3 linked regions of the Mus musculus genome follow. The protein of the gene in region 1 interacts with the protein of each later gene in a biochemical or structural test. Links are inferred from orthologs where the notes say so. Each region holds a gene or a part of one and is shown in the gene's direction. Other genes may lie near its edges.

The links.
Region 2: the proteins of Acta1 (region 1) and Tmsb4x form a complex in vitro, tested with the Homo sapiens proteins (2 studies listed by BioGRID). The link is inferred for Mus musculus from reciprocal best matches to the Homo sapiens genes ACTA1 and TMSB4X.
Region 3: the proteins of Acta1 (region 1) and Gsn are reported together in a solved structure, tested with the Homo sapiens proteins (3 studies listed by BioGRID and IntAct). The link is inferred for Mus musculus from reciprocal best matches to the Homo sapiens genes ACTA1 and GSN.

What each region holds. Positions count from the first base shown.
Region 1 is NC_000074.6:123,891,916-123,896,339, reverse strand, and holds the start of Acta1 (actin, alpha skeletal muscle), read left to right. Parts: upstream 1-1,564; 5' UTR 1,565-1,648; intron 1,649-1,828; exon of another isoform or gene 1,829-1,918; intron 1,919-2,630; 5' UTR 2,631-2,642; coding exon 2,643-2,771; intron 2,772-2,869; coding exon 2,870-3,194; intron 3,195-3,345; coding exon 3,346-3,507; intron 3,508-3,604; coding exon 3,605-3,796; intron 3,797-3,929; coding exon 3,930-4,111; intron 4,112-4,187; coding exon 4,188-4,331; 3' UTR 4,332-4,424. UniProt on the Homo sapiens protein: Actins are highly conserved proteins that are involved in various types of cell motility and are ubiquitously expressed in all eukaryotic cells.
Region 2 is NC_000086.7:167,206,498-167,210,556, reverse strand, and holds Tmsb4x (thymosin beta-4), read left to right. Parts: upstream 1-1,338; 5' UTR 1,339-1,451; intron 1,452-2,505; 5' UTR 2,506-2,520; coding exon 2,521-2,620; intron 2,621-3,021; coding exon 3,022-3,056; 3' UTR 3,057-3,463; downstream 3,464-4,059.
Region 3 is NC_000068.7:35,299,343-35,302,966, forward strand, and holds part of Gsn (gelsolin isoform 1 precursor), read left to right. Parts: intron 1-2,123; coding exon 2,124-2,214; intron 2,215-3,148; coding exon 3,149-3,319; intron 3,320-3,624. UniProt on the Homo sapiens protein: Calcium-regulated, actin-modulating protein that binds to the plus (or barbed) ends of actin monomers or filaments, preventing monomer exchange (end-blocking or capping).

The sequences.
Region 1 (4,424 bases):
TTTTAACAGTTCCAGGTCCTGGCCCAGGGCACAGGCAAAGCCACAGAGCTGATGCCCGTTAGGCAGTGCAGCTCAGGTTTAGGAAGAGCTGTGTGGGATCCTGAAATCGCTTCATGGAGCCTCTGCTCTCAGAGGCTCTGCACCTGTCCCAGCTGCTAAGTTCCACTCCAAATGGGAACAGCTATTTTGGGAGCGCTTAAGCCATCAGAAAAGTGAATGGCTCCATGGTGGCTTGGCTCTGATGCACACCCCTCAAAGCATGTCGCCTGTTTGGTCACAGAACACTTTTCCTTTGGGCTTTCTTATCCCTCTCCCTGCCCAAATTGAGACAGGCGCCAAGAGATGACCTCTACTCACCCCCATCCCAGCTTCCATAAGTTGCTCCTTCTAGAAACCCAAAAGCAGATTCCCATCTATCAGCGGTATAAATAGAACCCACACAAGCCTGGCAGGTGGTGGCCCCAAGGTGCATGGGAAGCAGCCGGGCTGACGGGCATCATCCTCTAAATATAAAGATGAGTCTGCCTGGGAGGGGCCGCTCCTGGGCACCAGTGTAAGGTCTTAGTGCTCCTTAGAAGGTATATCTTCATCAGCACCTCTCTCTGCCTCAGCCCCCTCTAGGTCCCAACAGTTCCAGGTATGATCCTTCTTTCAGACCCAGGGGAGGGAAGCTTAGTGCCACCAAAGAAGGGGTAGCATTTGCTCAGCCTAGCCAACTCGATGACGGTCAATCCCGAGTTTGGGATTTACACACACACACACACACACACACACACACACACACACACACACACTGACCCTTCCATTCCTTTCAAGAGTACACTGCAGAATGCAGGGACAGCTCTAATGCCCTGGCCTCCCATTCTGTGTGCCAGGGCCACATAGTCCCCATGCCTCCTCTCACTACCTCCTCCCCCTCTTCCACCAGTTGTCTGCCCAGTGACAGCTGCATATCCTACACTGACTGACAGCCTTGTGGGGGTGAATGGGGGTGATGTGTGTCAGATCTCTGGATTGGGGGAGCTTCAAAGTGGGAAAGAAAATGGAGTTCAAATGTGGGGCTTATTTTCCATCCCTACCTGGAGCCCATGACTCCTCCCGGCTCACCTGACCACAGGGCTACCTCCCCTGAGCTTAAGCATCAAGGCTTAGTAGTCTGAGTTAAGAACCCATAAATGGGGTGCATTGTGGCAGGTCAGCAATCGTGTGTCCAGGTGGGCAGAACTGGGGAGACCTTTCAAACAGGTAAATCTTGGGAAGTACAGACCAGCAGTCTGCAAAGCAGTGACCTTTGGCCCAGCACAGCCCTTCCGTGAGCCTTGGAGCCAGTTGGGAGGGGCAGACAGCTGGGGATACTCTCCATATACGGCCTGGTCCGGTCCTAGCTACCTGGGCCAGGGCCAGTCCTCTCCTTCTTTGGTCAGTGCAGGAGACCCGGGCGGGGACCCAGGCTGAGAACCAGCCGAAGGAAGGGACTCTAGTGCCCGACACCCAAATATGGCTTGGGAAGGGCAGCAACATTCCTTCGGGGCGGTGTGGGGAGAGCTCCCGGGACTATATAAAAACCTGTGCAAGGGGACAGGCGGTCACACGGACGTGAAGCCTCACTTCCTACCCTCGGCACCCAGGGCCAGAGTCAGAGCAGCAGGTAGGGTGGAGGTGGGGAGGGTGACCTGGAGACCCAGCAAAGAAAGCTATTGAGCCTTGGGCTTGTATTTAGCACTGAGTTCTGGAAATTTCTCCAAACTCACATCCAGCCCATTTGGGCTGCTGACTGGGCATTTAGGATATGCCTGGGGGTCTGACATCTATCCATTACCACCCGCAGACTCCTCCCTCCCCTCTTACTGGGGACTAAATCCAAGTCCTGCAAGTGAACAAGCCGGTGCTCTCCTACTGAGCCACACGCCAGCCTCTGGTTGGTTGAGATTTCTTTCCGGCTTTTCATTCCCCTTTCCCCTCTTTCTCTGCTGGGATCAAATCTGGGCTCTTGTGATGCAAGAGGTTGGCTGGATCTCCCACTGAGCTACACCCCAGCTCCTGGGAGACTGATTTGAAGATGAGCTTGGAGAGAGTCAAGCCTGGCCTTAGCCTTGGGGCGACTCCCTTTGAGATCAAGGCTTTTCTAAAGGGCAGCAACCCTGGCTACTCTTCTCTGAAATGGGAGACAGGTGGAAGGGTTTCTTCTGAGTTTGGGATGCTGTGAGTGTTCAACAGCTTTTCCATAGTTGTGACAATATCGCCCTTCCCCGGGCAGAATCCTCGACCCTCTCACAGGACAGGCAGGTGGTGGGCAGCGTGCCTTAATACCTCCTTCACAGATGAGATTGTGAGCAGAGAGGATAGGACTAGTGCTAGCTGTGGTGTGTGTGGTGGCCTACAATGAATGTAGAGGGTCTCAGGATATCCCCTGCATGCCTAGTTGGAGGACTTAGTGTGATCCACAGACAGCTCCCCCATAGCGAAAGCACAGCCTTAAGCTGGAAGAGCATCCTCTGACCCCCGTGCAAGGAAGGGGAAGGGGGAAAGGAGTTTTTGGATCTCCAAAGTGAAGATGGGTTAAGCGGAGCCTCACCCTAACCCCCCCCCCCCATCACATATACACAGCACTCAACACCTTGTCTTTGCAGAAACTAGACACCATGTGCGACGAAGACGAGACCACCGCTCTTGTGTGTGACAACGGCTCTGGCCTGGTGAAAGCTGGCTTTGCCGGGGATGATGCCCCCAGGGCTGTGTTCCCATCCATCGTGGGCCGACCCCGTCACCAGGTCAGGCTGCTGGCAGGGAAAGATAGGCTCTCTGAATCCAGCCAATGTTCTCCTCACCCCTGGCTGTAGTAACAAGTGTCTGATGTCTCTATCTGCAGGGTGTCATGGTAGGTATGGGTCAGAAGGACTCCTACGTGGGTGATGAGGCCCAGAGCAAGCGAGGTATCCTGACCCTGAAGTACCCCATTGAACATGGCATCATCACCAACTGGGACGACATGGAGAAGATCTGGCACCACACCTTCTACAATGAGCTGCGTGTGGCCCCTGAGGAGCACCCGACTCTGCTCACCGAGGCCCCCCTGAACCCCAAAGCTAACCGGGAGAAGATGACTCAAATCATGTTTGAGACCTTCAACGTGCCTGCCATGTATGTGGCTATCCAGGCGGTGCTGTCCCTCTATGCTTCCGGCCGTACCACCGGTAAGCGCTCACACATGGCCCACACATGGCCCACGCTGGCCCTGGTAGGATTGCTCCAACATTCCAGCCCCGCTTTTTAATCCTCTGCAGTATCCCGACCTGCGCCGCCTGCTGGTCCCCTCCACTCACATACTGCCTCTCCCCTGCACAGGCATCGTGTTGGATTCTGGGGACGGTGTCACCCACAACGTGCCCATCTATGAGGGCTATGCCCTGCCACACGCCATCATGCGTCTGGACCTGGCCGGTCGCGACCTCACTGACTACCTGATGAAAATCCTCACTGAGCGTGGCTATTCCTTCGTGACCACAGGTGCGTGCTTCCAATGCCCGCTGAGGGAGGGCGGGCAGAGGGTGAGCACACGCCCCAGGCCTTGCCCTGAGGCCCCCCACTGCTTTTGCTCCTGCAGCTGAACGTGAGATTGTGCGCGACATCAAAGAGAAGCTGTGCTATGTGGCCCTGGACTTCGAGAATGAGATGGCCACCGCTGCCTCTTCCTCCTCCCTGGAGAAGAGCTATGAGCTGCCCGACGGGCAGGTCATCACCATCGGCAATGAGCGTTTCCGTTGCCCGGAGACGCTCTTCCAGCCTTCCTTTATCGGTGAGCCGCCCGATCCGCTGGTGTGCGGGAATCAGTTTTCCCTCGCCCCACGCCACAGAGTACGGGGTCTCCACCCGCCGGTCCCTTAGCCCGACTCTGCGGTTGCTCACACTGCCTCTCCCCCGGACACCAGGTATGGAGTCTGCGGGGATCCATGAGACCACCTACAACAGCATCATGAAGTGCGACATCGACATCAGGAAGGACCTGTATGCCAACAACGTCATGTCAGGGGGCACCACCATGTACCCTGGTATCGCTGACCGCATGCAGAAGGAGATCACAGCTCTGGCTCCCAGCACCATGAAGATCAAGGTGGATGACGTGCCTGGTGTGGGTGGAGACCAGGGGCGGGGGGAACACGCAGGCACGTGACACTCTTGTCTTGCAGATCATCGCCCCCCCTGAGCGCAAGTACTCAGTGTGGATCGGTGGCTCCATCCTGGCCTCGCTGTCCACCTTCCAGCAGATGTGGATCACCAAGCAGGAGTACGACGAGGCTGGCCCCTCCATTGTGCACCGCAAATGCTTCTAGGCGCACTCGCGTCTGCGTTCGCGCTCTCTCTCCTCAGGACGACAATCGACAATCGTGCTGTGGTTGCAGGGTGGCCCCGTCCTCCGCCGTGGC
Region 2 (4,059 bases), on another chromosome or scaffold:
CATGGGGAGAGAGAGGATGTGTTACCAGAGAAGTGACATCTAATGCGCGCTCAAACAGGTCTAGGGCCCCATCCAAAGGGCAGAAAGGCAGTCTCCCAAGTAGAGCATTAACTGGGGAACCACATGGGTCACCTGCTCCTCCCTACCCCCATCTCCTTCCTCCCAAGTAAAAGGGAAGTAGATGAAGAAATGGGGAAGTCCAAGCTGCTCCAGCAGCGGCAGTTTAGGGTCCCTAATAACACTTGACATTACCAGAGAGGCAAAGCCTCTGCCATAAAAATGCTTAGCAAAGGCTTTCTGGAAACATCCCTCCAGGGCACAGAAAAGGAGAAGGAATGTTTTATAGTTCTCTGTGTCTCAGATATAATCCCAGCGATGCCCTTTTAAAAATATCCTACGGAGCTACCTCCAACCACCTGCCACTTGCAGGCACAAGCTTGGTATCTGTAATTACTTTTTAGTAGCAAGTGGGTCCCTGCGACTTACGGACTCAGGTGCCATTTTGAAACCGGCACATCTCTACCTGAATCGTCCACATGTGTTGCAGGGAAAACCTTCCCTTCAAAAGCTAGTTCGCGCTTCAGCTTCAATCCTCAGATAATAGAGCTGATGGACTTGTGGTCTTTGGGAATCCTTGGCTCCCATTAGCAATCACTTTTAATTGATGAAAATAAGAAAAGGAAAATGAACTTCCTTATTGTCAGTCAGTAACAGAAGTTGACTTTGACTTAATTTTGAAGGGGCCGGCTGTGTTCTCTCTGAAGCCCCCTTACACCTAGCAAATGTTAGGCACTTGACTCGATTGCTCACGGAAATTATAGCAAACAATACAAATGCTGCGGCGCTAAAACTTTTCTTTTAAAAATCCACTCAAGGATCCTTTATCGCCCTCTCAAATCAAGGGGGAGACAAGCGAGGGAGACAAAGAGGGCCGGGTGGGGCTGTCCACTGGTCTGAAAGCTGAGTCATTGGAATCAGACCCCAGCAGCTCTTGTATGAGGGACACCTCACCCTATCTTGGGGGCGTTGGCTGCAGACAAAGCCGGTTTCAAAGTAAAGAAAAGCCTGTCCCCTTAGGTGCCACTCAGGCCATTAGTTATCACGCATTGAACCTTAAGAACAGGTTTGGGCGGCTGCTGCAAAAGTTCATGATAATAAAATAGACGTCAAATGGGGGGGAAAGCATTTTGAAGGCGTTTGTTCCTTTTCTAGTTCCGCCATCGATGTGGTTCAAAGGCGCTGGTGAATGGGGATGTGGGGGTTGGGAGGGGGTCTGACAGCCTCCGAACGCCCTTCCGGAGATGCGGCGCGAAGGAGTTAAGCCGGACTACGAGTGACATCACCTCATTTGCATAGAAGCACACATAAAGCGGCGTTCGCCGCGCCCCTCCCGACAATCCGCAGCGGCTTCTGAGCAGATCAGACTCTCCTCGTTCGCGCAGCTCGCTCGGGTGAGCCCCAGGGCCCCTTCCTTCTGTCCTTCCCTGCCTGTCCAGCGCAGGCACTTGCCCCTCATCCTCCTCGTCCTTAAAGCCAAGTCCAAGGCATGGTAGTTTCGGGGAATTGGGGGGGGGGGATGCTAAACTCTTCCAGATGCCGAGTAACGGGAAGGGGAACTTGATTAAGAAAGAGAAAACCCCATAAAATTGGGCATTCTGTTGCGCAGCTTAGAGGGGAATTGTTTTTTTTTTCTCCTCGACCCTCTCTCCGAAATATTTTCCCTTGCCTAGCTAGCTGTAATTAATCAGAATTAGAAAGATCCTTTGTTCAAACGCTCTGTGCTCCCCTTAATCGCCTAATGGCTTCGAGGGCTGTTATCTGTGGCGGGTTTAACCTTCCCGGCCTTTAGCGTGAAAATTCGGAAGCCCTTGCAGACGAATGTATGCAAAGGCCGTCAAAAGGCCCCTGTATGCAGATCAAGATGCTTTTGCGAGAAGTGGGGAGGCAGTTTTGTGTGCCAAGGCAGCATTGTTGGACTAGAGAGAGGAGAGGAAGCGAGTAGGGCGGTGGTCGGCAGCTGGCGGCGTCAGCTCCCCCGCCTTTGTGAGGAGGAGAAAGCTGGACCGCCTGGCATCTTTTGGAGAGCAAGCCCTTCTAGAAAACGGAGATGCGTATTGCGACCTTGGCTCCTTTTTAAGAGATTTTACTAGACTTTCCCCCACTTAAACTGGAAATGGCTTCGATCTATCCAGACTTTAATTTTTTCAAAGCTGCAATGTTAACATTCCGCAATGGTGAATTTTATTATACGGGAATACTCACCTTTGACTATTTCCACCTTCGTTCTTTGAATCTTCCCTTTGGGAATATTAAGGGGGAAGATTTTTTTCCTATAGAAAGAGGAAGATCTTTAGAGAGGACTCGACAAGGAAAGCACACAGAGGGAGAGGCAGTAGGATTTCAGGCTTTGGGCTTTCCGGCGGGGTGGGGGTGTGCTTTTGGAACTGGGAGAGGCGAGGGTGGGTGGCTCTTTCTTAGCTCTGGTCTTGGCTTTTGTACCTGCAGCTCCTTCCAGCAACCATGTCTGACAAACCCGATATGGCTGAGATCGAGAAATTCGATAAGTCGAAGTTGAAGAAAACAGAAACGCAAGAGAAAAATCCTCTGCCTTCAAAAGAAAGTAAGCTGTTCGCCCCCACCCATTTTCAGAACGGGCTGGGCGGGAGCAGAGCAGAGCGGGGAGCAGCGGCCGGGAGGAGGAAGGGAGGGGCAGCAGGGAGGATGGGGGGGGGGGCTGCGGGGGAGGAGTCGACAGTTTGATGATGATGAATATGGCCTGCAAAGGTTAATTAAAAACTGTTTTGCAGTCAACAAGCGCCGGGCTCTAGTGATTTAATAATGGAATATTTCATATTCCATATTGTGCATATACATTTATTGGGTAACTGTACTTCTGTTTAGCATGTCTTGCTTAGCGAGGCTGCTATGTGTCTTTCTAGAATTTTTATAGGGTTTTTAAATGGAAATCATGTCATTTTATAGAATGCTCTAAGTCTCCTTTTTTTTTTCTTTTCTTCACAGCAATTGAACAAGAGAAGCAAGCTGGCGAATCGTAATGAGGCGAGCGCCGCCAATATGCACTGTACATTCCACGAGCATTGCCTTCTTATTTTACTTCTTTTAGCTGTTTAACTTTGTAAGATGCAAAGAGGTTGGATCAAGTTTAAATGACTGTGCTGCCCCTTTCACATCAAAGAATCAGAACTACTGAGCAGGAAGGCCTCCCCTGCCTCTCCCACCCATCTGATGGTCTGGCTAGCAGAGAGGGAAAAGAACTTGCATGTTGGTGAAGGAAAAAGCTGGGTGGGAGATGATGAAATAGAGAGGAAAATTCAAGATGGTCAAAGATGTCCTGCAGGATGTAAAATGCAGTTTAATCAGAGTGCCATTTTTTTTTGTTCAAACAATTTTAATTATTGGAATGCACAATTTTTTTAATATGCAAATAAAGTTTTAAAACCTGATTGGTGTGTCTGCTTGGTGACTGGAAGGAGTAGTTAAATGAGTGATAAAACCCTTGCAAAACTGCCTTGCCTCTTGGTCACTGGGACATAGAAGAGACAAACGTAAACTGCCTTGGCCTAACAGCTCTGGCTTAGTCCAGGTCTGTGAAATACCCTGTCTATAGCAAATGATTGGGAGGTCATCATAAGAGTTCCTCATGGGTTACATGGAAGAGTTAATGAAAATATTTGAAATTGGTATAGCCACCATGGTTGGAAGAAGGGGGCTGTGGAATGAAGGGGTAGGGGGGAGGAACTCACGTGTAGTTAGAGCCTTTCAGGAGTTTTGGAAAGCCAACATTGAATTTATTACATATCACTCAACGCAAAGGGTGTTGGTTTGGTACACTAGCATTAGGTATCAACATGAACTTGGCTAACCAACTATCTGGTATTGAACAAGTGGAATTTAGGGTAAAAATAGTATTTGCTTTAGAAAGGAATTTAGAATTGGTTTGTCCTTGTCTAGCGGCCAGTTTGCAAATGAAGCTCAATGTTTAAAATCGGCTTTATTAAAGTAAACGTGTTTACCAGTAAGTGATGATCTGAACTTAGT
Region 3 (3,624 bases), on another chromosome or scaffold:
ATTGCTCCAGATCCAAAGCAAAGCCCAAAGGTGTCATTCTGAACTTTCCGTTACACCTGTGACTCATCTGCCAAGCCCCACCCTTTCCTCTTGACCAGTTTGGCAATTTTTATTTATCCTTTTTGCATGATTACTGGAAGGATGTATAATGTAAGCGCACACTAAGCACATTTCCCTGTAGCTGGCCTTTTGGCTATTACCTTCCTGGAAATTTACAGCTTCCTGGAGTGGGTGTGTGTCTAACAGCCATGCCATCCCTTTGGGTTGCTGTACTGTGGTTTACTGACAAGCTCCCACACCCATGCATGCTTGGGTGCTAGTCCGCTGTCTCATCAGTGTCAGTGACTTTAAGCAACAGGTGGGTGTGTAGAGAAGTCTCTATGATGAGTTCCCAGGAGTGGATTGCCAGTCAATGGACCTGTCAGTCATTTTGATAGATAGCTCCAGTTTCCCTGGCTAGTGCCTGGGCCTTTCATATCCCTGTACTCCTGCCAGCTACATGCAGGAGTCCCTGTTTCCCTGGATCCACCTAAGCAGATTGTGTTGTTAAAACTCATGGATAGTTTATAAAGTGTTGTTTTTTTTTTTTTACTTTAAGTTTGCATTGGGGGTCAGGGTGTGGCTCAGTGGCAGAACACTTGTGTGCATGCTGGCGGCTCTGGGTCCCTCCCCTAGTACTGAAAGATAAACAATAACATACTGGTGACCCTGTTACTAGACACTCTCAGACTTTTGTCTGAATAATAGTTGTCATATTTCTTCTCCATTGAAGTTTCATTTTGAAATAATTTTAGACCTACTGAAGAGTTGAAAAAAAAAAAACCCACAAAAGAAACCAAAGCAAGAAACCCTGGTCAGTTCTCACATAAGTTCTGCCCCGCCTGCTTCCTTTCACAGCCCAGGCAGCCGTGGGCCGGCTGATGCAGTGCTGTGCATCTGTCTGTGTCTACTCTGTGTCACCAGGTCCGCATTCCTCAGTCTTTCCTGGCCCAGGCCCTAACCCAAGATCCCATGGGACATCTCTAGGGCTTAGGACCCCAAGGGGTCTCCTAAGCCTTCTGGGACTGTGACACCGATTACCGCTCCTTTATGACCGTAGCCCCTGAAGAGTGGTACCCAGGAATCAAGTGCACACACTGTCTGGCAATCCCATATTTTTAAAAGCTTCTGCTTTTTGTTTGCTTGTTTATCTTGTTTTGTTTTGTTTGTTTGTTTCGGTTTTTCGAGCGAGACAGGGATTTTCAGTGTAGCCCTGGCTGTCCTTGAACTCACAGATATCCACATGCCTTCACTTCCCAAGTGCTGTCACTAAAGGAGTGTACCACTGCTGTCTGACTGAGAGCATCAGCATTTAAAAGCTAAATACAGATATCGTTATTGCAGGGACATGGGGATGCTGAAGTTTGAACCCAGAGCCTAGCATATGCTAGGCAAGCCACTGCCAGTGATACCATTTTTTACCTTTTATTTTGAGACAGAGCCCCACTAATTTGCCCATGCAGGCCTTGAACTTGCAATCCTCCTCCCTTAATTCCCCAGGTAGCTGAAACTGCAGTCCTGTATCACTAAGTTCAACATACGATTCAAACGTCTTAGGAGGCTTTTTGACATATGGTGTGTGCCAGGGACAATATAAGGCCCAGCCTTGGCAAGAAGCTGAGGTGGGGGGACCTTGAGTCTCCCTAACTCTCCCTCTCAGGGAAGTTACCACACACAGCACACATCCAGGAGTCCTTTTCACATGTCCCCATGAGGGTGATTGACTGGTGTCTTTCCTCACAGATGGCACACATCATGCCAGCTGTTTCTGTCTTTTTATACCAGCAAATGCCCCGACTACTTTTGTGCATCTGAGTCTCAGTACGCTCTTTGTATGTCTATCAGAGGACCCAGGGAGTTCCGCAGGCACATTTAGGACAGGGAATCTTCCCGGTGTACCTGAGCTAGGAGTAGGCAGGTTGACAAAGCTGCTGTCTCTGGCTCTCCCCACAGTCCCTGCACTTTTCCATCCCAGGTCACCCCTACAACAAGCAGCTTCATGGGTTACTAGAGCTCAGAGCAAGAAAGAGGCCCATAAACTAGGAACTATGGAAACTAGAGCTGAGTCTTTCTCCCTCTTCTAGGCAGGGTGCCCAGTCTACCCAGGATGAGGTTGCTGCTTCTGCCATCCTGACTGCCCAGCTGGATGAGGAGCTGGGAGGAACTCCTGTCCAGGTGAGCCAGAGTATTGCCTCTTATGGCTTCAGTCAGGACTTCATCTGTTTGCTCACTTAGCTGCCTAATTATCCATCCGTTCATCCGTCATCCATCTATCATCCATCCATCCACCCATCCATCCACCCATCCATCCACCCATCCATCTATCCACCTGTCCACTTATCCATCCATCCACCCATCCATCCATCCATCCATCCACCCATCCACCTATCCATCATCCATCCATCCATCCATCCATCCACCCACCCACGCATCCATCCATCCATCCACTCACCCACCCATACATCTATCCATCTGTCTATCTACTCACCTACCCATGCAATAAACGTTTATGCATGGCCCCTATGCACTAGACTTAATGTCTGTATCCAGATATATATATCTCCCTTGGTTGTCCACCAGGGGATGACACAGTTGATCCCTGCAGGGCACATTTAGGACAGGAAATCTATGTGCTGTGTTTAGATCTAAGTAAGAAGACAGGCTAGAGATAGGGGAAAGTTGGAAGTTGGGGCCATATGGGGTACAGTGGTGCCTCCAGACCCGAAAGGCTCTTTGCATTCCCTCACGCTTTCATGTGTCTGGGACTGACCTCAGCATTCTGAAAGAATGTACTCAAGCACTCCGTCCTTCCTTTTAAGGTCATGTTTATAAACTTGGACTTCCCTGGTTTTTGGACCGGACTCAGGGGCTGTAAGGCAAGGCTTCACAGGGATGGATGGTGGGAAAACAGCACCCAGGGGGCCTGAGCAGTGACATCATCTCCAACTTTCTCTTCTCAGTACTGTGGTGCTGCAGAGTATGATTGATGTTGTTCCCTGCACAGTGCCCCCAACCATAGTCAGACACAGTGTGGTGGCCTTCCTGGAGGAATGGTCCAGGACCATTAAAAAGAAAAAGAAAAGCTGACTCTTTCCTTTCTCACTGCCAGAGCCGAGTGGTCCAAGGCAAAGAGCCTGCACACCTCATGAGCTTGTTTGGCGGGAAGCCCATGATCATCTACAAGGGTGGCACCTCCCGTGATGGTGGGCAGACAGCTCCTGCCAGTATCCGCCTCTTCCAAGTGCGAGCCAGCAGCTCTGGAGCCACCAGGGCTGTGGAGGTAACGCCAGGTTCCAGAACATGGGCAGCTCTGCCCTCCTCAAGTCCTCTGGGCCCAGTGGGTTGCCCTCCAGTGGCCTGGGTGGGAGGAGGAGGCAGACGCACCAGAGCTTCCTCCCTGGCAGCCCCTTACTCCTCCAGGATTCCTCACACGCTTTCCCACACTCCCTTCCCTAGAATTCACTCTGTGCAGCCAGGACGGCATGTGTGATTCTGTTCCAGCAGACACTATGGTCTTGGTGCTGTGAATTACTCTATCACTTCCTTTGTTTTGAACATACAACTTTTGCTAAGGCAGCCCCAAAT